Linked DNA regions of Lepisosteus oculatus. The protein of the gene in region 2 binds, or shares a complex with, the protein of the main gene of each other region. Links are inferred from orthologs where the notes say so. Each region holds a gene or a part of one and is shown on either strand. Other genes may lie near its edges.

Region 1 (11,341 bases), on a different chromosome or scaffold from region 2:
ATGCTGCCAGCTGGTATATAACCCTGCAGATCACAGCTTCAGTGGGCTGCCAGTTAAGCAGGTGTGAGCCTGGCCAGTACCTGGATGGGAGACTCCTGGTAAAGCTAAGGCTGCTCTTGGAAGAGGTGCTAGTGGGGTCAGTAGGGGGCGCTCTCCTGCAGTCTATGTGTGTCCTGATGCCCCAGTATAGCGACAGGGACAATACTGTACAAAAGGTGCCATCCTTCCGATACGAGACAAAACTGAGGTCCTGACCTTCTGTGGTCATTAAAAATCCCAGGGCATTCCTCGAAAAAAGTAGGGGTGTTACCACTGGGTCCTGGATAAATTCCCTCCTGTCCTTTACCAATCATGGCCTCCTAATCATCCCCATTTAAGAACTGACCATCACTCTGCTCTCCTCCCCACTGAGAGCTGGTGTATGGGGAGTGGACTGGCACATCATCCAGGTGGGGCTGCACACTGGTGGTGCTGGAGGGGATCCCCATGACCTGTAAAGCGCTTGGAGTGGAGTGTCCACACAAGAGCTATATAAGTGTAAGGAGCTGTGTTGCATCTACTGGGATAACTAATGCAGTCCAGTCCACATCCTGCAGGTGGCAATGTAGAGCACCCATGGCCCCACTCACCTTGCGTAGCTTGGGGAGTGAGGGCAGTTTGGCCAAGGAGGTCAGGCCCACGTTGACCATGCTGAGGAACTCCAGCTCCTTGAAGTCATCGGTGAGACCTTCCACCTCGCCATCGCCGGAGCGGCAGTTATCCACCACCAGCTCAGCCACCTGGAGAGGGAGACGGGAGAGGAGACGACATTCAGCCCCTCCGTTCAAACCTCACTGCCGGTAAGAAGCCAAGCATCCAACGACTGGTCAAAGTCTCGGACACCAGGATAAAAACGAGGCTCGGGCCTCCGATGGAAGGGTTGGGTTAATAGGTGAAAATAGGTGATCTTCGGATCCATCTGCGGGAGTTTTGCAGGCATTTGCGAGAATTCGAGACGAACCGGCCCCCTACTCTTCAGAGAAAAGCCTCAACCGATCACACCTCCGATTAGCACCTGGCAAACCCACCCAAACTCCGAGCACCTCAGCCCTGGAAGAAGTGCTGAAGTGACCGAGCGAAGCCCCACCACTCAACACTAGGAATGGGTCAGGAATTGTGACAGATGAACGGGGATGATCAACCTTACAACTACAAAACCCCCCGCTCGGAAATGTGCTCAAACCTGCATCTGGCACTCTTGCGATATCACGAAGCGTAATCAGCCAAATGACAAAAACACCTAAGAGACTGTGCTATGCCACAGATTTAACAGTTAATCCCACTGCTCGCCTAGGAACATGCTCTTTGTACCCTAAGACCAAGCAAGGGGGAGGGTGAAAGCAATTTTCTAATTAACGAAAAAAAACGATAAACATTTCCGAGAGCTCACAAGGAAATTCTCCGGGCAGACCAGTTAAATAATGAAAGGCCGGGCTCCATCTGTAGCGACAGCCAGGGATCTGTTAAGTCCAGAGATATCAGATTTTCCAGGGGCTTTGGGGGGGTAGTGGATTCAGAGGCAGGAAGATGCTCGAGGAAGCAGAAATATCGAGTCCAAATCTTCTCTGCCATCTCGGCAACAGCTGTTACTCCTGCCTTAAGCTCAAGGTGGGCTGAGCTGAGCAGTTTCAGCTAATGCACTTATCAGGACCACCGGTGCCTCTCTCCAACATTTGGTTGCAACAAGAACAATCCACAGATTAGCCCCTCCTCTGGATCGTTTTCACAGCACTGAGTCAAACACGAGGTGCAGAGCTGCTTAAATTCAGGCCGGTTTGGTTTCGCCAGGGGCAGGTTCAGACGGGAAAGGCAGCATTATCTGCTTTGTGACCTCCCCCCCTTCGGCTGACCTGCTGTCGCCAGGAATGCTGGGATCTGTAGTTCCAATGCGTCTGAGCAGAGCAGACATGGCAGCCAGCTCCCATTCAAGCACAGCTGTGCGAAACAAGACAATGAGAAGGCTTCGGAGGGCAGCCGTCTGCTAATTTGCAAAACAGATTTGAGTGGAAGATCAACAGTCAGAACTGTTGTTTTTTTTTTTAGAGTGCGCTTTTGGTGTAAATGGACACCCAGGAGGTTTCAAAACAGCCTTGTAGCAGTTAGGACATGCAAGCTTTGTATATCTCACCAGCTTTAAAGTTGCTTGGAAGAAAAGCAAGTCAAAACAGAGCTCACGCTAAGGTGAGGCTCGAACTGTACTCACACAGAGCCCCAGTCCAGGCAGCACAGGAAGCCATCAAACCTGAATGGAACGATGACTAAAACTTCAAGTCCTTGGAATCACAACGTGTGAATCCACAGGTTCCTCAATTGTATAGTTTTCCCACCAGCTGGTATTTTTATCACTCTGAGAACTCTTAGGTGACCCCCACGTGCATGAACTGATCCTGGGTTTGTGCTCTGAGGTAGTGCTGACTCCTTCAGTGCCCCAAGATTGACGGCTCTGTGGGTGTCCTACCACTAACTCGAGAACTGCGCCATGAAAGCAAAAAATTAAAAATCGGTACAGGTAGGGGGCGGCTCTGTGGCTCAGGATCTGCGCCTGTGGCTGGGAAGTTGCCGGCTCGTATCCCGAGGCCGGCAGAGGAATCCTACCCCGTTGGGCCCCTGAGCAAGGCCCTTCACCCCAACTGCTCCAGGGGTGCTGTATAAATGGCTGACCCTGCGCTCTGACCCCCAGCTTCTCTCCCCGTCTGTGTGTCTCAAGGAGAGCAAGCTGGAGTATGTGAAAAGACAAATTCCTAATATGAGAAATTGTATAGGGCCAATAAAGTGATCTGATCTTAAATGAAGGGAAGCTCTCGCCTGGCGATCACTGAGGTCTGTAGAGGACCAAACCCTAAAGCCCACTTGTGGGGTTAAAATAAACTCAAGGTTGTTTCCAACCTGGGTTTAAAAAAAACAAACAGAAAACCGATCAGACGCCATCTCGGATCTCGGAACATCACCATCATCAACAGTGAACAGTGGATTTCCACGGCTATCTGGTGAATTAAACGGTAACGGCCAAAAGGGACAAAGCTCAGAAAGAGTCCGGGCTAAGTCGTGGGTGAGGTTTCGCTGTTTGCTGCACTCCAGAGTGCTCTCGACTCAAGAGGTACCCCCGGTAGTGCTGGAAAGGGTTGTGAAGTCCCGTCTTCACCATCAAGAAAACGAGACCTTAATTAAGACCCAACTTAAATTCTCTCCCTAGGACTGAGAAACCGATGACCCGTGTCCCCCCGTCACTTCGATACCCAGGTGCAGCTGCTCTCACAAAAACAACCGGGTCGCAGCCGAGTTTTCATACCATACGAGACATAAACAAAAAAATAATTCCGCTGCAGATTTTGCCTCAACTGCTTCGGGAAACGGGCGCTTAATCTACTTCTACGGTACTGAGCTGGGGGCGGGCGGGGGGGGGGGGTCGGAGTTAAACCTCGCCATCTGCTGTAGTCCTTCAAATTCAGCTCGGCGGCCACCGCGTCCGACGACAGCGCCGCTCGGCCGGGCCTGCGGGGCTCCGACGCCACAGGGATGAGAGCCGAGTCTCACCGACAGGGTTTTTCCTCTCCACACGCACACAAACCGTGGCGTGGGCTATAGGACACGCCGAGAAAGAGAAAGGCATTTCTCTCCGTCGTGAGGCGGCAGCGACTTGACTCTCCTCCCCCCCCCACCACAACCCCCGTCACGACAGCGCCGGGATGCGGCCGTCGCCAGCAACACCGGCGTAGCCGCCTCCTCCCCCCGCCGGTGTCGGCGAGAGATAAAGCCGCGAGTCCACAAGGACACCCCCCGCCCTCACCGCCGCGGAAACCCCGAAACCGAAACCCAGCGCCGGCCCGGGGGCGGACTACTCAGCCTCAGCGCTGGGACAGTCACAGGTCAACGCGCCGCCCGTTCAGGAGCGGCGCCAAAAACCTTCGGGGTACCCCCACCCCCTTTTTTAACGGGGTAGGAGGGGGGCTCCCACTTTTTAGGAGACCCCCGCCCGCCGCGATCGCAAAACAACAAAAACAAGTCTTTTTCCATGTGAAACGTACTTCGGCAGTGTCTCGGTTTGTAAACAGCGACCCATGAAGGATGTGGTGGTGTGTGTGTGGGGGTGATTTCGGTTGTGAAAGCTGAAGAATACCCGCCCGCACCCCCCAACACGCACACGCACCCCCACACTTTCAGGTGTGCGAGGCGGGACCGGGGCTCATCTGGTCCGGGTCGGCTCAGTCACACAGGAGCCGACACCCCCCCCCCACAACAACCCGTCACCACTCACAGACCTCCAGCCCGGGGACCCCCTCTTTGAAATACCGGCCACGAACTGAGCCCCGAAACGGGGACTGAGGGAGGCAGAGGGGTCACAAAACAGAGCCGAAACCCACCCACCCCGCACCCCAGAAACAGGGGTTTAACCCTCCTCCTTGAACGCGTGTTCCCTGCTGCTGCTGCTGCTGCTCGACCCGAACCGATTCAATAATCTGGGTGCAAAACAAAAACACAAACACCCCCCAAAAACTTCCCCGGGCTGCGCCGCGACAGGACTCCCGCAGCCGGACACCCTGCCCCTCGCCCGACCCGTCCGGTCCCGCTCAGCTGCCGCGGACACAGCCGCCGCCAGGCAGGACCGGAGCCCGGCCGCAACATCTCGGATCTCAGCTACATCTATAAAGACCCGACATCGCCATTACTGGGAGCTGTTAAAATATTAAATCGGAGGGAGGGAGGGGAGAGCGGTCTGTTATCGAGGAGGGCGGCTTTCCCCGACGGCACGAAACTTTCCCCAAGTTCAATTTCCGACGCGTCTCCGCGCTGGTGCCCATGTGGTCGGGCGAGCTGATGCCTAATTCCACATTCGCTACCATCACACCCGCCGAGCTGCCTCGGCGGTTCTTTAAAGAAATAAATAAATAAAAGGCAAAGGGAAAGGCAAGCTCCTACCTCGTCCGGAGTCCTGTTCCTCAGTTCCAAACTGATCCTCTTCTTCATGTCCATTTTTTTTTTTTGTCTGGAAAAAATAAATAGCAAAATAAAAAAAAGTTGCAAACGAAAGGGGGGAAAGAAAACTAAATTGGGGAAAAAAAACTGCAGAAACTCCAGAGCTCTGCCCCCGCGTCTCGGCTTTCTTCAATGGCTGCTGCTCGCTAACTGAGCCTCCATGATACCTCGCACCCAGCCCCCTCCGTTAAGCCCCGCCTCCCGCGCCCTGCGATTGGCGCCCGGCCGCTTCGCGCCTCGCTATTGGACGGGCGGGCTGGCGCTCAACGAGATCGACCCCGATTAACATAATCGGGGCCGACGGGGGCGACGATTGGCTAGAATTACGCGCGCAGTACATTGCGATTGGTCAGGGCGGCTGTCGGTCTCCTGGTTTTTAAACCCGAGGGCCGCCCATTCTTTGTGTTCATTGGCGCCTTTAGTTAAGAACCTGCAGATGAGGTCAGCCCCCCCTCTATTATTTTTCATTATACTAGCAGGGCCAAGGGGGGGTTAAGGTCAAGAAATGAGCGGGGGTAAACAATTATGCTTTCAGAAAAAGAAATTAGGTTACATTGTTCCATAACCTATGCTGCAACAGTGCTTTTCCCGTATGCCCGTCCTCTCCTTTAATAATTAATGCATTGCTAGCTGTTGTACACAAGCGCTTGTCCCACCGTTTGAACACAAAACAGCGCTTCTCCCTCGCTGAACCGTGACAAAATGGCTGATCGGGGAAGGACCATGAACTCGTGTTTCCAGCGCGGGGAGACCACGCTCGGGCCATCTGGTCCTGAAATCTGTCGCCGCGGCGCTTTCAGATGACGCACGGGTCCAACTCCGCGCTTGGCTCCCAACAGACGGCAACAAGCAAACCCAACAGAAATAAAACAACACACCCTGGGTATTTTTGTATCGGTCAGGTCCTTAAGCGATCAAGAAATCTTCCAAATCTCCCTGAAAAAAAAAAGAAGTGCTTTTTCCTTAGAGCTAAAATTGTGTGCCAGACAGTTGAGGGTCTGATCAATGGTGTACACAATATTAGAAGGTTAAAGATTCCAGCTTTTAAAATGCCAGGTTTTGTTTACACACAGTTTTGAATAGAAGTCAGGGGTGAGCACGGTCTCGTTGCTGGTGGAGAAACAAGACTGACGAGTCATAGTTCAGAGTGGTTAGTTTAATTATTTAATTCCTTACACTTATATAGCGCTTTTCTGGACACTCCACTCAAAGCACTTTACAGGTCATGGGGATCCCCTCCAGCACCACCACCAGTGTGCAGCCCCACCTGGATGATGCAACAGCAGCCAAAGTACACAAGTGTACTCACCACACATCACAAATGGGGGATTATTAGGAGGCCATGATTGGTACAATCAAGGACACTGGAGTAGCACTACACTATTCTTTTTGAGAAACACCCTGGGATTTTAAATGACCTTGGTTTTATGTCTAATGCAAAGGTTTTACGCCTTTTTAGACCACACGGTTTTACGCCACACAGACCGCAGGGTGAGCGCCCCCTACTGGCCCCACTAACACCTCTTCCAGCAGCAGCCTCAGCTTTCCCAGGAGTCTCCCCTCCAGGTACTGGCCAGGCTCACACTTGCTGAGCTCCAGTGGGGCTGCCAGTGGTGAGTTTCTGTAGTCTTGTGTGTCTTCTTGGCCTTTCAGCTAAGACCAAGTGTAATATAGCGTCCCCATCACCGTACACAATGACCCTTTCCCCTAAACCTCTCCTCTTTTAAGCCTCCTCAGAGTTTCCTCTCTTGGGACAGCACATTGAGTGGAATACGATGGGAATGAAAACAAAAACATGAACAATATGGCCATTTAAAAATATTGAAGTGCTATAGATGCAGTTCAAAACCCCGCATTGACAACGTGTTCTGTTAAACTAGATGACTCGAACGGGGGTGACCAGCCACAATGCAGAAAGCTTTACACGGCTCCAGTGTCCCATGTCTTTGCAAGAGATTATGTCAGGGTGATCAGCGGGACCGACTGGATCTGTGGTTCTGCAGAACCGAGCTTCGCTACCACAGGCGTTACTCCCCTCAGAACGCAGATACAGACTTTCCCATTTCAAAACAAACTCCTTCACGTTCTCATACAGTATGTACCCGCGGTTACAACCTTGCTTAACATATTATTCTTCTGTATATGTGCGTGTGCGTGACTTTCTTTATATTTTCTGTTGCTGGCAAAACTAATCGCCCCTTGGGGATCATAGATTTAAAAAAAATACCTCTCTTCTGGACTTAGAAATGCTGCACGGAATTACGGAGAGTTTGTGTAAGAGAAGGAATTGGCGCACCGTTTAACAAAGACTTGCGTTATAATCTCCATATACAACGTATAAGTCGTTTACGCCGCAGGCCTGCCAAGGCGAAATGACTGAATTTGAAAGGATCAGTTTCCAGCCCTTCCTTGTATGAGAGCAGAAGCGCATTGTCCTGGATTTGTGTGAAACTCACCGGCAGCTCTGCATCACCGCCGTAGCTTGTGGAGTCAAGACGTCCTACTTTCTGTCCACCAGGGGGCAGCCAGCACCAGGTGACGGACGACCTGTGACTGGATTCCTGCGGTTCCAGCACCCAGCAGGAATAGAGATGATAGGACCACGGCTCGACCTCCCGCTAGAGGGAGCTCCACTCCCAGTCACAGTTAACTTAAGCTAAATAGATGTATTGGCTTAGTAACCAATTAGAGCTTCATCCACTGCTTCTGCTTGCACTGCTGCTTTAAAGAGAACTGGAAGACCTGTGCGCACACACCTGATCTCCAGGACCATGACAGAACCACTCTGGACTACAGAGCCTTTAAACCCTCAAGGTCTTCCGAGAGAGGAAAGAGGCCCACGGCCACCTTCTCCGGATTAAAATTCCACATCTTCGAGCCTGAGGTAGTGGTGAGGCAGAGCAGTCACGAACAGGCCCTTTTTATCTGAAAGAGGGGACAGGACCACACTGATGCGGCTTCACAAATCTCCGCTGGGGAAGTTCGGGAGACTCACGACATTGTAAAACACGCGTGCCCAGCCCTGTGCATTTTCCTTGGTTTTGTTTCTGTCTGAGAACATACAGAAGAGCAAGCCATTCCTCCCATCAGGCATTGCGGCGACCGAGTAGCAGAGCAGATCCGGTTGAGCCATTCTCTGAAGGAACACATTGCTGACACAGCCCCTGGTATAAGAGAGGGCCTGCTGTTTTCTTTCCTAAATTACTTCTTCGATCCTCAACTGCCAAGGATGGGCACCATTTATGACCATCGGAAATGTGGCAATTGGGATCAACTCTTCTCTCAATCCCCTTCGTCATTGACTAAAGAGATCTAGTGCCCGCTGAAAAGAGAAGGAAAGAAACATGACGTTTCGGCCGTGGAGCCCTTTTCGGGTGTGCCACAAACTTCTTCTGTTGACGCCCCAAGAAACCTCCTCAGCCGAAACGTTGTGTCTCTTTTCTTCCCTTTTCAGCGGGGAATAAACCTTTACTTGTTCCTTTGCAGGCTAGGCACACTGAGGTAGCCCGCTACTTGAACTACTAGAGAGCTATATCTTGTGTATGACAATCCTAGACGACTAAGTATCATTCGTGTTACTCTTTCTAATGGTGACCAGAAGGGATGACTGTTTTCTCAATGAGCCCACCAGTGTGCAGCCCCACCTGGATGATGCGACAGCAGCCATAGTGCGCCAGAACGCTCCCCACTCACCAGCTATCAGTGGGGAGGAGAGCAGAGTAATGAAACCAGTTCATAGAGGCCATGATCGGTAAGGGCCAATTGGTTTGCTGTAGAGACCCAGTTAAATATTGGACACCTCATTAAAGGACCCAACCGTGCAAGCTTAATTAAAGAGGTTACATCATTTTTTTTTTAAAGACATTAGCTCCATGTCTTTACATGAGATTATAATTGAGGCATGACTTCTAAATTCTGCTGGACTGTCATTCTACTGTCCCAGGCTCTGCCAGTCTTTAGGGATCCTGCTATTTTAGGGATCAGGAATTGAGGTTCTGAGCACTTCATTGCACTTGGCATGCAAAATAAACTGAACTGGTCTCAATGCATCCCATTCTGGTTAATGAAAGAATTGACCAAGATAATGACGACACAGTCAATGCAAAAGGTAGGTACGTGGTGACTTTCTAATGGTGACCAGAAGGGATTACTGTTTTCTCAATGGGCCCTTGCTCATCTGCTGCAAAGCTTGAGCACAACTCTGCTGGATTTAAATTCCTCACCGAGCCTGAGCCCCTGGGGCCGCCAGCGGGGAGCGGATGGTTTCTCGCACTCGGTGCTCGTCTGTTATTCACGGCCTTGTCTTCAGGCGGGCGCCCTGCCCCGGGCTCAGACAATGGGCCGCTCGCTGGCCCGTTAGACCCATTCGCACTGTGGATGGAAGACAGGGGAGACGGATGTATTCACAGGCCACGCATCTGAATGCCCGCACAGAGGAACGGTAACAAAAAGCCGTGGAGGAAAAAAACAACACCTCTGAATAAGAATGGTAAAGAGGCGGCAGGGTGGCATCGCTGCTGTACAGCGCTGGGGCTGTGGGTTCCTTTCCTGGGGCGCTGTCTGTGTGGAGTTTATGTCCCCACTACCAGGGCCGGATTCTGGGGTTCGTAGGCCCTGGGCACTTTCACTCCGAGGGGTGAAGAGGGGTGAACGCCAACTGACGTGACGCCCTGTAAACTATTCCAGTGCTAAACCCCCTGACTGAGGGAGCGAGTCGAGCCACCATCACTTCCATACTGCTAGTGTCTAGAGCAGCGTCTGATTATTGATCTGGAGCACCTCGAGCCGATCGCCAGCATGTTGTTTCAGTCACTAGAGTTTCCCTCCTTGGGAGGCCCTAGGCGCTGTGCCTAAGGTGCCTCATGGGAAATCCGGCACTGCCCACTACTGGTGTTTTGCATGGGGTTTCAGCTGGGTGCTCTGGTCTCCTCCAACGCTACAAACACATACTGGGAGCTTAATGGTCTCAAACTGGCCCTGGTGTGAGTGTGTGTGGGTGTGCCCTGTGATGGACTGGCATCTCGTCCAGCATGGTTTCTGCTTTGCGCCTGTTGCTTGCCAGGATAGGCTCCGGCTCCCCCCCACAGCGGTTAGAAAATGGATGATTCCCAAAGATGTAGCAATTTTATGTCAATAATTTAAACATCCCCTTACAGAAGAAGCCTGAGACATGGGCACACCAACCCAGTCCGTTAGGCTTAGCTGTGCTTACCATGCATACATACTGCGGCAACTGCTTGCGCCACTGCAAATACGACAGTAATTTTAACTAACACATGATACAGGGGCTTACAACTCTAAATCTCTTACCAAAGGCAAGTAAGTCCGTTCAATATTTGTTTAACTGTGAGAGGAATTGGTGTAAACGTTCATTAGAAACGTATCAGAATATAGATCTTGTCTCTGTATGGTGTGTAATTTATTTTTTGCCTCATTTGAATGAATCTGGGAGTTGTCGGGTTTTGCATCCAGGTAACAGAAACAAACTACAAGTGCTCCTCATTAAAAGAGACTTGGGTGTTTATGTCGACACAATGTTTACATCGCCTAGACAATGTAGGGAAGCAATAAAAATAACAAAACAAAATGTTAGGAGATGAAGTCAAAAGTGCACAATTCAAATCACGAGATCCTTCACTCGATTAATACTACTAATAATGTATTATTGATACTTTTATTATCATATATAATAATGATAAATACTATATGATTAATCATTAACTATTAACCACCAAAATGCCCAGATGGGCCCACTGGCCTCTTCTCGTTGGTACCTTTTCTTATGTTCCTGTGTGTTCGATTGAGGGTGGCGCTCAAAATCACAACTATTTTGTGGCTAAAAATATATAATTGCTTTCTTATGTTGTAGCGTTCTTTCACACCGTGCCAAAGTCATAACTGGAAATCTCCTCGTTACATCAGCCCAAGAGAAAGAAAGAAAAACACGGAAACAGCGAGCATGAATCATGATTATTTCATGTGTCTGGAGGCCAAGTTTCGCGTCCTGGATGGGAAGGACTGAAACGCGCAACTTCACACGGGCGCTCGGGCAGGCTGACCGAGGCGTTACCAGAACCTGGAGATTTTGTTTTAAAAAGGCTGATTACAAAAAAAAAAAAACTGTGTAAAAAAAAACCCCGAGAAGGATCAAATTAATCTCTGCGCACCCAGCTGTGCTCAGGAGTGGATGAAGGTGTTCAACCGGGTTTTCCATGAACAAACGACAGAGGCGGCTCGTCGATCTGGGAAGCAGTTGGGGGGCAATTAGAAGCAGAACCCCCCCTCTCTGGGGGAGCACTGGGGGGGGCACTAAGGGGATGCTGGTGAG
Region 2 (11,940 bases):
CTAAAAAGGAATACTTCTCTTCTGATCTAAAATAAATGGTTTTCCATTTTTATTCCAGGAACAGTGTCAGCTTCTGTAGTATTGTAGCAACAAAGCAAATTAACGCACAACTGTTGTGACAAATGGCAACAAACCCTTCGGGATTAATAAAGTCTTATCTAAACTATACAGGGCTCATGGTTTTCCAATAAAGTAAAAGCAACAATCTAATGCCAAATGTAGAGAAACTGAACTGAATTAAAACAGACCAGATTTTTACCTCAAAATTGAGGTTTTCTTAAAGCAGTACAAAAGTGGATATCAACCATGGTAAGAGAGTAAGAAATTACATCCCTAGCATGCTGCATTTCAATCCTGGTTTCTACTGGCTTCAAGAGCTATAGCCCCAACTATAATTGGGCCAATTTCTATCCAGACAACTATTGTTCCTAATGCATAAGAAACTTTGACTTAACCTGCTAGGCAGAGAGACAACCAACTGGCATAGGGTGAGGAAGTTAGGATCCCCATAAAGGGAGAGATGTTAACCAAGGAGTAGCTGCAACAGTGGAGATGAGGTAGTGGAGGGATCCAGAAAGATGAATGCGAACAACAGTGAGGGGCAGATCGACTATGATATTTGTCATTTTTTCAGGAAAGTTTCAGGAGTTAAGAGTTGTACAGGTGAGGGACATCCCTTCCAAACTTCCAGTAAATTTTACATAAGAAATACATAATTACACCTACTTCTCTTGTGCCTGGTTGCAGGCCACATTAAAAATATTTATGGCACAGTGTGCTGTCAGTTGAAGCAATTTGTAGGGCATATTGACATTATGATGCAAAGAACATGCACTACAAAAGATTACTTTCAAATTTGGTTTTACTCATACCCAAAGTAATTTTTCATGTGTTGTCAGTGCATATTGCTTCAATTTGACCAGCAAGATCGCAGCCTGACAAGACATATGTAAAGCTCATTGAGTTTTCCTTTCAACTGCTTGTAAATTTTGTCTTCAAATTTGGAAATATTTTTTATATATATATAAATTACAAATTTACACTATCTACTTTGTGAAAATAAGATTTGTCTCACGTTAGTTACTTTGGAACTTAACCTTGTAATTCGGTTATATCTGGTACAAATCTGAAAAACAAATCACCTCCTAAACAACCAATTGAAAAACAATCAATTCTTAAGTTGGAGACTCCATTGGGTCAGCCCTGTTATTATATTCCATTGGTCAACCACGATAAGGCTTTCCTAGAGATGTACAGCGAAAACCATCTTTTAAAAAGTCAACCTAGCCGCTGGCTGGTTATCCGTCTAGCTCTTGCAGAATCTAGATCAATCTGGGCTACTACTAACTCCCCACTATGGCTGTAACCTATTTTTAAGCAACTAAATCACAATTAAAAATGATTCTACAAAAGCTTCATATTAATTTCAGTACTAGTTACCAATATATTTCTGCTGTTAGGACATTTTAAAATCAACACTTCTAATATGTGAGGTACTAAAGCAACTTTAGAGATCTAACAGCAATGAAAGAGGTCAAGTAGTTGGTACCCAAACTGTAGGAGCATAGAAACAGCTACACTACTTAGTATGTCAAGGGGAATAGTTTGGAAAAGCATGGCAGCATACACCAAACAAGAGAAAACAGCATCAGGAAAGAGGAACAGAGGCTGCAAGTCAAAGACACTTGCTAACCACTACAATATGATGGCCTCAAAAATGACCACAGAACTGAATCTACACCTCTGTGACCCAGTCTAAACAAAAACTGTGGCGAGAGATTCACAATGTTGCCATTTGGAAACAGCTAGTAACCAAGGCCAATACACAGCAATGCATAATCTGGTGTAAAGAGCTCAAAATATGTTTTTCAGAGCAGTAGAAGAAAGTGGTGCTGGAAGTGACCTATGCTCTGTGTTCAGCCTTATACCAGAAGGGTCAACCTGGGAAACGATGTGTCAGTGATGAGAGTACACAATGCATCATGTAGACACAGTAGTTAGGATTAATTCTGAATAAAAAAACATGTAAAATGTCCATATTATTGTTTTAAGACTGATCTTATAAAAGATCCTGATCCTGATCCTGATAACGGACAGGTTAGAAAATTTCGGCTGGATTAAAAATAATTTGGCAAAGCATGGAATAGTTTGTTCTTAAGACTCCTGGGCTGTCTGGGCAAAAGGAGCAAATGACTAAATTGATGATCATATAAAAGCAAAAAATGGAAGCCAAAACATTTTATTTATCTAGAATTGAAAAACTTGAAAACACTTAAGAGTTCAAATCAAATGCTTGAAATGCTGAATGCAGTTACAAAAAAAGCAGTGTACGATTAATCTCACTTTTTTTATTGCTTCCATTTGTTCCTCCCTCCATTCTGGCTTGTTCTTCTTTGCATTGATAAAAAATTCATTCACCCTCTGTTCCAGCTGATCCATGGCATCTACAACAAAAAACAAATGAATCCCTCAGATTAGGAGGATAAAAAGACAGGTTGAGAGCCTTTCCAACAACATATGTAACAGATTTGCTAGACCTTATTTTGTAGGTCTTATTTACTTTAAAGCTAAATACTGTTCACAACATGCATTTGAATTTTAATTCCATAACTGAAATGTCTGTAAACATTAGAAAACATGACTCACACTCAAGAGTCCAGAGTACTGAAAATGGTCAGTGTATAAAAGTACATATCAAAAGAGCAGCAATTTCCATTTAAGGCAAAAATATATCTATGAACACAATGCAAGTACAGGTTTCTTTAAATGGCTATAATGGTTTTACAAATTAAATTTCAAACTCAACACAAAATGCCTGCTCTCTAGCTTGGTGCAATGATTGAGCGTTTACTCCACTTCTAATAACAGTAATCTCTTATCTCTGAAAAAATAAAAAAAATTACATTGTAAATGCCTTGTAGACTGCATACTGTAAGTCTGTCTGCACAATAAAGCCAATCTGCTAAGGACTCTTCTGTGTCTGAAAATCTCTTTAGGCAATACTTTAAAAAGCTGGTTGATTTCATACGGTTCATCTGCACAGGGATGTCTACAGTTGAAGGGATTATTTTGGGGAGATGGCAGACATATAAACTGTAAAGGCATACAGTACATATACACAAGGAGTGAGTGACAAATTTGCAACAATTCTGAGGCAATGATTTTTTATATATATTTTAGATATTAGGAGGAATAAGAATAGTTAATAGAAAGTAGCTCCACTGTAATTTACATATAATCCAAGATACCTTTGCAATACAATATTCTGTTAAGACATATTTAATGTCACACGTGTGGCTGCATTAGGGACTTCACTCGTTCACTCCTCTCTCATCACCAAAATGTAAAACGGTAAAGACTTCCGATAACGGTCCATCCCATTTCTCACGGTAGGCCGCACACACGGCTCTTGAAATTCATCTCGTCTTTCACTTCCCCATCATGTTACCAAGCCAAAACTAACAACGGCATTTGGAATCACCCGGACAATGAAACAAATAAAAGCCTATATAAGTCTTGGTAACGGCACTGGTGAAGGGTTTCCTGTAACAACCCAGATATGTGCCCTCTGCCCCTTCATTCTATTCTGTTCAGGCTGAAACGTTCCTCCTCCAACTCCTTGGCAAGATTTCATCTGCTTCTGCTACGACGATCTTCTAAGCAGGTCTGAAGCACTATTGTTGGACAACAGCACTGAAATACACTTTAAGATGCTTAAACACAGTGTGCGGATTACAAAATAGAAAGTGTTACCATCATGAGTGACCGATAAACGGAGCACTGCCTGGATAAATGAAGTAAACAATGCAGATTGATGTAGACAGAATAGTGCATTTTAAGCTAATAAAGCTGTGAAATCTTCAGGAAAATGTAAATATTCGTAGTCTTGTATCTAATCTGATCAAAGATCAATATACAGCCCCATCTATACCAAAAATAAGCACTCCGAAATGAGAAAACGGCCATGAATTAGCTAGGCAAGTATTTGACTTGGTCACGTTGTAGCGAATGCGTACTCTGAACTTGGAGGTCCATTTCTCTCATTTCCGTAAACCTGTCGCGCAGATCCATGGGAAGCTGCTCGATCACTGCCAAAGAGAAGAATAAAAAAAAATTAGCTAGCCGTCTGGGAGCTACACGACACAACACCTGCACATCCCGCACGTTAAATGATCCTTAACCAACACGAAATTCGCTTACAAAATACCATACTCACTTTCCAGGTAGTCCTCTAAGTACAGCATTTTGGCTCAAACGTATGTTTTAGGCTTTTAGTAAAAGAATTTTAGCCTTTCAATATGGCGCCGTCTTCACCAGCAGCTCAAGGAAAAAAAAAAATCACGTCTCCCCGCCGGAGGTCATTCTATGTGACGCATCCCATGACTGCACATCTGATTGGGCGTGTGAGAAAATGACGCAAACTGATGGTTTAATGCCAAAGCATCATGGGGGATGTAGTCTAACCTCAGTTGTTTTATGACAGGCCAGAGCTTCAGAAACCGAACCACTCAGATAAAGGGCAAGTCAAATTTTGTATGTTAATGATATTTGATTGGTTTAACACATATTTGTTATTAAACACAAACGCACATTTATTATATACAGCAGTGGTCCTTAATCATTTAGAACAGATATCTACCTACAATCATAAACAGATGTACTTTAAGGGTATATTTCTATGTGGAGTTTGGATGATACCCCTCTCCAAAGACATGCTAGTATGTGTATGTTTGCATGTCTTAAGCCCATTGGTGGCTGGGCTAGGTTTCAGCTCACCTCAAATATGTTTGCTGGAATAAGTGGCTATTGAAAATGGATGGTCATTTAACTGGTAGATAAGAAAAGAAGCTGAGATTACAGTTACCACTCACAGCTTCCCCTCGAAATAATCAGGATTTAAATATTTTGGAATGAGAGTAAATAGGAAAATAGCAAATATATTTAAACAGCAAAACAGACATTTATCCAGACTTTACTACTGTCATTAATGTATACATGTTTGTGGACAGTATGATGTGACACAGCAATTTCAACACATACCGGTACACATTCTGCACTGACCAGCACAGCTTCCAAATGTGGCTGTGGGTAATGGGTAGAGACTTCTTTCTAATTTTTGTACTTATTTTACTTCAAATAGACCTCGGCTAAGTGAGATTAACTTTTTTTTTTAATCTTGAACAATAGACTATAAGGCAACCTGATTGAAGTATCCAAAAGCCTCAAAGGCACTGGCAAAGTCAAAGCAGTGAACTTCAGAATTAACAGTGAAACACAAACTAGAGGACACAAGTGGATACACTACATGGAAATATGTTTAAAACCAAGACGAGTGGGTGCTTCTTTACCCAAAGGGTTGTAGCTACACAGTCATGTTGAAGCTGATACCCTGACTTCTTTTAAGAAAAGGCAGAGCTTAGTTCACACCTAACTACCAAATAGACTAGATATATCGTATAGCCTCCTATCATTTGTAAGTGCTCCCAAGAGTTTAATGTGAATTGGGCTCTTTAAATATACAAAATTAAAGATACTTACCACGCTGAAGTCTTTGAATGCATGCTTTCAAGTTCCATGTTTGAAAAACTTTTGCAATTTGTCCAGGTGTTATATTGATAAGGTAACATGGCACTTTAGAGAAAGAACTTCCACGTTAACAACTAAATCAGTATCATTATTTTGGGGGAAAAAAACATTTAGTATTACCTTCGAATAACTATTTCCAAAAATATACTATTATATTTAACCAATGTCCTGTCGATTGTTTGATAGTACAGACATCTGTACTCGTCTTCCTCAAATGTGTTTCATTTAATCCGTTTTATAACAACGGATTTAACGAACATGATTTGTTTCACTGGCATAGTCCTTCATCAGCCTTCGTATAACACAATGTTTGGTTCATGAATTGCGTTTGAAGAAAATCATGAGCATTTATTTGGAGTGAACGGAGCCATACCAAAGCAAAACGCCACTATCGTGTTACTGACGTGGTGGAGCCCTTCAGGCACCACCTGTGTGGTCTCCCGTTCACCATCCGCACTGAGCAACCTGCGCTGCGCCGGTTTACGTCCTTCAGTGACCCAGAGGGACAAGCTGCCCGGTGGGCGGACGAGCTCCAGGAGTACAGTGCTGTGAAAAGACAGGAAGCAGAGCCTTACGATGCGCTGCGCTTCTTTAAAAGCAGTCGTGTCAGCCTACAGCGGCCCACTGCCTGCAGCCCAGACGACCCTGAGATGACAGCGGGCCCAGAGAACGCTATCCATCTGGGCCGAGGGGTATCCGCAGAGCTGTGGCAAGCGGCCTTGAGGAACAACCTTTCCAGCCGCCAAGAGAGGTGCACCGTTGCCTTCAGCCCAAAGCCCTATCGCAGGAGGAGACGCCTCGCCTTCTACCGTTTTCCCAATCGTCTGGGCCCGGTCCACAGCTGCAATATCCCAGCACCCAGCCCGCCCCCACACACTTTACCAGGTGCGAGGGAGCTGGGTAGGGGGCAGTGTAACACCCTGCTATCGCTGTGTCTAGGAGCCACTGAACCCTGACCTTGAGTCCTCCTTTCCCCTCTCCCTGCCTTTACAAAAACGCCCCCCTCTCTCCCTCTCTCCCTCTTTCGCCTTACTCCAAAATAAGCAGCGGCAGCCGTTACTCCTCTCCATGCCCTGCTTCCTAAACCTCCTCTCAGTGATTAGCACGCCTTCGTCGGTCAGAAGGCGAAATTAAATCACTGAGGTGCAGTTACCTTCTCCTGCATCTCTTCCTATACTGCCGCCGCTAGAAGGGAAAACTAGGGGGAATATCTGTATTGTTATCATGCATATGTTCGAAGGGGGAACAGTCAGTGTGCGTTAAGCTCAAAGGAAGAAGTAAAGGTTAATTTCTAAATGAACAGTAGAAAGAAGAAACACGATAATTTGCTCATATCCGAGAAAACCGAAACAACCGAAACATTCCTGTAAAATATTTTGGTTTGTGACAGTAATGCTAAAACAATACATAGTGTAGCACAACTTAATTTCTTTCTCTTAACAATTATTTCTCTGAACCGAATGTGTCAGTTTAAAAACTAAAGGCTGTAAAAATAGTCTTTCAGGATTTAGTATTTTGTGCTTTTAACTAGAAATTTCATGCGGTCTTCTGCCCTCTGGTGGCAAAGCGTGGAACCCCCACAACCCAATGTTGTACAATTTTATTAGTTACAGATACTATAGATATTATATCAAGGGTTATATTATGACTTCAAGCCTCCCCGCCAATATACATGCTACAGCCCTTCTAACACAGTCTCCTAACAAGGAAAAAATAAGAAACATGTTTTCGCGGAAGAATACTTAAGCAGCGAAATCAACTTCATTCTGTGTGAACTTTGTTTTTCTGGACCCCTCAGCCACACCTGATCATTTTACTTTTGTCCGGAGGAAAACCCCGAGTTACATACTTTCAGGTCCCTGTGCTAACTCTTACTCTGTTTTTGTACTTGGCCCAAGATGTAACTTTTTAAACCACCATTCAAGTGTTTCATAAGCATGTAGAGTTGGGAAACTGTTTTTGACATGACTTCTTCTGTTACACTAAAAAGGAAATTAAATTAATAAAACTGACAAAAAATACAGAATTGTGTTAACATTATTCATGCCTGTTCCTATTCCAAAAGAATAGGTACCTTAATAAAAAATTAAGATTTTTTTTCATGAAGAAGGTCAGTTCGAGAAGACCTTCTGAAAGTATCCTACATGATTGCCAAAAGCTCTGAGTTTCAGATGGTGACAGGGAAAAACAGGCATCTGTTCTCAGGTGCTTCTTTGCTCATGTAGAAAAATTACCACATTTTTAAGCATTTAATGCATTAAAAAATAACAGTCTCAGCCTTAAGGGCACTTCTCCATATTATTTTTGTTACAGATTAAAAAAAAAGTTTTAGAAAGTTAAATTGTTCTTTTACAACTTTTTCTATTTCTCCCCAAGACATTTATCATTAAATTTCCCCCTGGCCTTTACCAATCATGGCCTCCTTATAATTCTCATTTATGAACTGGCTTCATCATTCTGCTCTCCTCCCCACTAATAGCTGGTGTGTGGTGAGTGTACTGGAGCACTACGGCTGCCGTCGCATCATCCAGGTGGATGCTGCACATTGGTGGTGGTGGAGAGGAGTCCCCATTACCTGTAAAGTTGTTTGAGTGGAGTGTCCAGAAAAACTGTATAGAAGTGTAAGGATTTATTATTATTCTCCACTTTCTCTGCTGATCCATAATGACTGCCATCATCACCCATTGGTGGATAATTAGATTTCCCTCCTGTGTGTAAAGCACTCTGATTCTTTGGGATAAAAGATGCTACATAAATACCTCATTAAACTGGCTAATCACTACAGGAGAGTATATAAAGGTAAATTGGCATACCACCCCCTTCTTGCTGGTGATTAAAATGTTTTCTTTATTTTATCAAGGGCACAAAAACATGACACTCAATTTGAGTGGCCTTCTTCAAATGTGTATTTCTATAAGCTGATATTGTCACGGATGTCGTAAGGAACGAACTGTGGAGAGGCAGGAGAGCGGAAAAAGACCCTTATGCTTAGCGGCGGAACAGGGGATTAGCAGTTCAGGAGTCGTATAGAAACCTATGCCCTCAGGCAGTGGACGTGGGGTGACCTGGTGCTGTAGGTGGGTCTCAGGACATCTGAATGTCAATGCTGAGCGAAGGTGAATGAGTGACCCGGAAATATATAGCCCCAGAGAGAGAGAGATACCGGAAGGACAGCAAAGCACAGGAAACTAGGGACATGACAGAGTAGGATCAGCCAGAAGGCGTGACAGATATCTACTGTACAGTGTATACACAATTTTAATTGTTTTGAGGTGTGCGATCTAATGTAACATATGGTGTAGCTGCATACAGCTCTCTTATGAAACAGTGGCCTGTGATGCATGAAACTCCATTGTTATTCACTCGGGAAAATTAACTTTTTTTTTAGGAGGAGCTAGTATTTATATCAGTTGGACAGAAAAATGCTCCTGACAAGCTCATTGCTAATTAATTAGTTCTTCTGTATGTGATAAAGCAGCCTCATGGCTCTTGTGAAAATGAAAATCTTGATTGTAAAAAGAAATTAAAGAATTTGTAATATATGTAAACTTTGCATTCATTTTAAGGACATTGTAGTATATTTTGTTCTTTGTTTTGCTTCACTCATCCATGTGATGTTGAATGTATAGGTAATCTGAGGAATTTAGGTCTGTTTTTGTCTGCAAGCATTTTAGAATGCATATATTTTGAAATATGTAATGTGAAGGGGGCAATTCTAAAGCCTTCTAAAACAATAAGCTTCATCTAAAAATGTCCGTCTTTTCTTGTGTGTCTTTAATGTTTGGAATAATAAAATAATCTATTGTCTTATTATTTTATTATTTAATATATCTGTCACTGTGAAAACCAAATTCTGAATACATTTGGCAAATTAATATAGATTCCACGTAGCAAAAACTATTGCACCAACCGGATGGAAAACATTGACTTTAAAGAAATGTATATTCAGTCCACGTTTGGAATTTGTTCATATTTCAATAACATAGCAATGGTCATTTTTTCAGCAACATCTGAGATGGTCAGGTGGGGACAGCTGGTCCAATAGACAAGGAATACAACTTTTTTAAAGAAACGGCGTGCTTCTATGAGAAAATCGATGAAATGTTTTATAGGGAAAATACATGCAAGATTAAACATTTTATGCAAAAGAAGTAATTTGCCGATGATCGCTGAGATTAGGTCTGTTATGAATGCATTAATCTGATATCAAAGGTATCCATTCAATCAATTTAATCCTTCGGTTTCAGAAACACTACTCTGGAAAATGTACAGAGTGGTTTTAAAAAACGTTCAGAAATTAAAATCTTATAGATTACAGAGTAAGCAAAACAACACAGAGTACAAATATCAGATCCCCTAACAAGAAAACGCAAAGTGTTATCCGTTACGTTTACATCACGAGTGCGCTAGTTTTTAAATGTTATTTTCGGTGTTGCAGACCCCAGCTGACAAATACATCTCCAATATTAGGAATACAAGCGGGGAAGGGAGGAGGGTTACAAAAGGTGAAAAGGTTAGTTTTGCACCCCCTTAACTACCAAAAGTCCTTTATTTTACAAACTGTTCCTGTCAAGAAGGGGGTGGAAGAGCTTGCGTCTTGCTTTCAGTTGAGACAATAATGCTCTCTCAGATATGACCCCTTGACCGACAAATGCTATCTTTCGGAGGCGGATTTACCGCCCACATTCTTTTTCTCCAACGGTCTTGGATGCTTTTCGACTTGATGTGCGTATGAGTCGCCTCAATTAGCTATCTTGTGTCTCTAGGACCCAGAAGAACACCGAGACAAGTCTGTCAGGGTGAAGAGTGTGCGCGTTCAGTCACTGAAACTCCTTACAAGCACAAGTCCTATTGACAGCACGCAAAAATATTTTCAGTGGTGTGTCTACGGAGCTCCTTGAAGGGAAGATAGGTGTTTTAGGGGAAGGTTGATTTCTCTCAGAACATGACAGATGACCTGCTTCACGCCTCTCAAGTAAAATTAAAGGATCTGAGTGAACGATAGCCTTCAGTGACAGTTTCGAACAGCTCTCTCCCGTCTTCTGCTAGTGTTTTTTTTTCTAAGTATACAGATGGAATGCTGTCATGTTATCTCGTTTTGTACGTTTGGAGACAAAAATATAACGTTTAAATGCTTTTCACGAATATCTTTCTATGCGTAACCGAAAACAAAACTCGATAAATATGTATTCATGGCTTTCTGGAGTGAGCAGTTAATATCTTTTTGACTTTTGCAAGCCAGTGTTTTTTTTTTAAAGTAAATTAACCAAAGTTAACGATTCCGGAATTTCATCAGAAGTGTCCAGTCTTCCGTGAATCCCACGTTTTGTAGGTCACAAAACTATGAAGAAAACACCTGTTGTTGTGAATGATCGTATCTTCCCACGAAGGCAATTTGCTTTTAAGAAGACGTTGAAGGAAAATCACATTTAAGCGACAGTTGACAACCCTTTAACGGTATGTTTAAAATTAATAACCTAATTAAAATGAAATGCACCCCTTACCAATTTTTTGAATACTGCTCTCGAAAGTTTCATTGCATTGCAATCGTACTGTATGTAATTTCTCGCGTGCTGAAGTAGCTCGTTAATTGTTTTCGGTCTTATTTTGCAGTCTTTTGGGGCTGCTATGGTCGGGAGAATTAAGATGATGAGATTTGTCCAGCGGTTGCAGCTTTCAGAATGGCCAGGGAGGACTCGGTGAAGTGCCTGCGCTGCTTGCTCTACGCTCTCAATTTACTTTTCTGGGTAAGAGAAGTCGAATGCCGAAGCAGGTGGCAGAGACAGTGCTCACATTACCGATTAAAGATTACGACGACCACTCGTGTTCTTGGAGCCAGACTAGAATGATGATAATACTCTCACCCAGAACACACGTAATTCTCCCCCCCAGTGATAACCCTGTGTCTTGCATATGAACGCTGTGAGCAAAATGTAAGAAAAAAACACAAATTGTACATCCTCGTTCATATAAATATAACCTGAACCGTTTCCAGCTGTCATTGGAAGTTAAAACAGCATGTACATATTTGCACAGTCAAAAATGCAGTTAATGTGCAGTTTATATTTTATGCAGTAACCAGCAAGAGTAAAATCTTAAGTCTGTATTTATGAGGTTGCGATCTGTTCCTCTATTCAGCTGATGTCCATCTGTGTGTTGGGTGTGGCTGCCTGGCTCAGAGACTACCTGAACAATGTTATTACTTTAACTGCTGACACCAGGTAAGATTTGGAGACTTATGTTAGTATATAGTGAACTGAACTGTACTGAAATATAGAAATGCAGTGTCTACTTATTAATTCATTGTTTACCTAAGCGAAGAACTCAAACTACACTGTTTGAATGCCTGTCATA

What was found.
Region 1: ing3 (region 2) and anp32e share a complex: the UniProt entries of both Homo sapiens proteins name them as parts of the SWR1-like complex. The link is inferred for Lepisosteus oculatus from reciprocal best matches to the Homo sapiens genes ING3 and ANP32E.

The regions. Positions count from the first base shown.
Region 1 is NC_090722.1:3,723,557-3,734,897, reverse strand, and holds the start of anp32e (acidic leucine-rich nuclear phosphoprotein 32 family member E), read right to left. Parts: upstream 5,183-11,341; 5' UTR 5,011-5,182; coding exon 4,957-5,010; intron 780-4,956; coding exon 630-779; intron 1-629. UniProt on the Homo sapiens protein: Histone chaperone that specifically mediates the genome-wide removal of histone H2A.Z/H2AZ1 from the nucleosome: removes H2A.Z/H2AZ1 from its normal sites of deposition, especially from enhancer and insulator regions.
Region 2 is NC_090702.1:40,168,481-40,180,420, forward strand, and holds the start of ing3 (inhibitor of growth protein 3), read right to left. Parts: upstream 4,358-11,940; 5' UTR 4,245-4,357; coding exon 4,217-4,244; intron 4,089-4,216; coding exon 4,017-4,088; intron 2,445-4,016; coding exon 2,344-2,444; intron 1-2,343. Other genes in the region: tspan12 (tetraspanin-12), read left to right, coding at 11,268-11,333, 11,725-11,807. UniProt on the Homo sapiens protein: Component of the NuA4 histone acetyltransferase (HAT) complex which is involved in transcriptional activation of select genes principally by acetylation of nucleosomal histones H4 and H2A.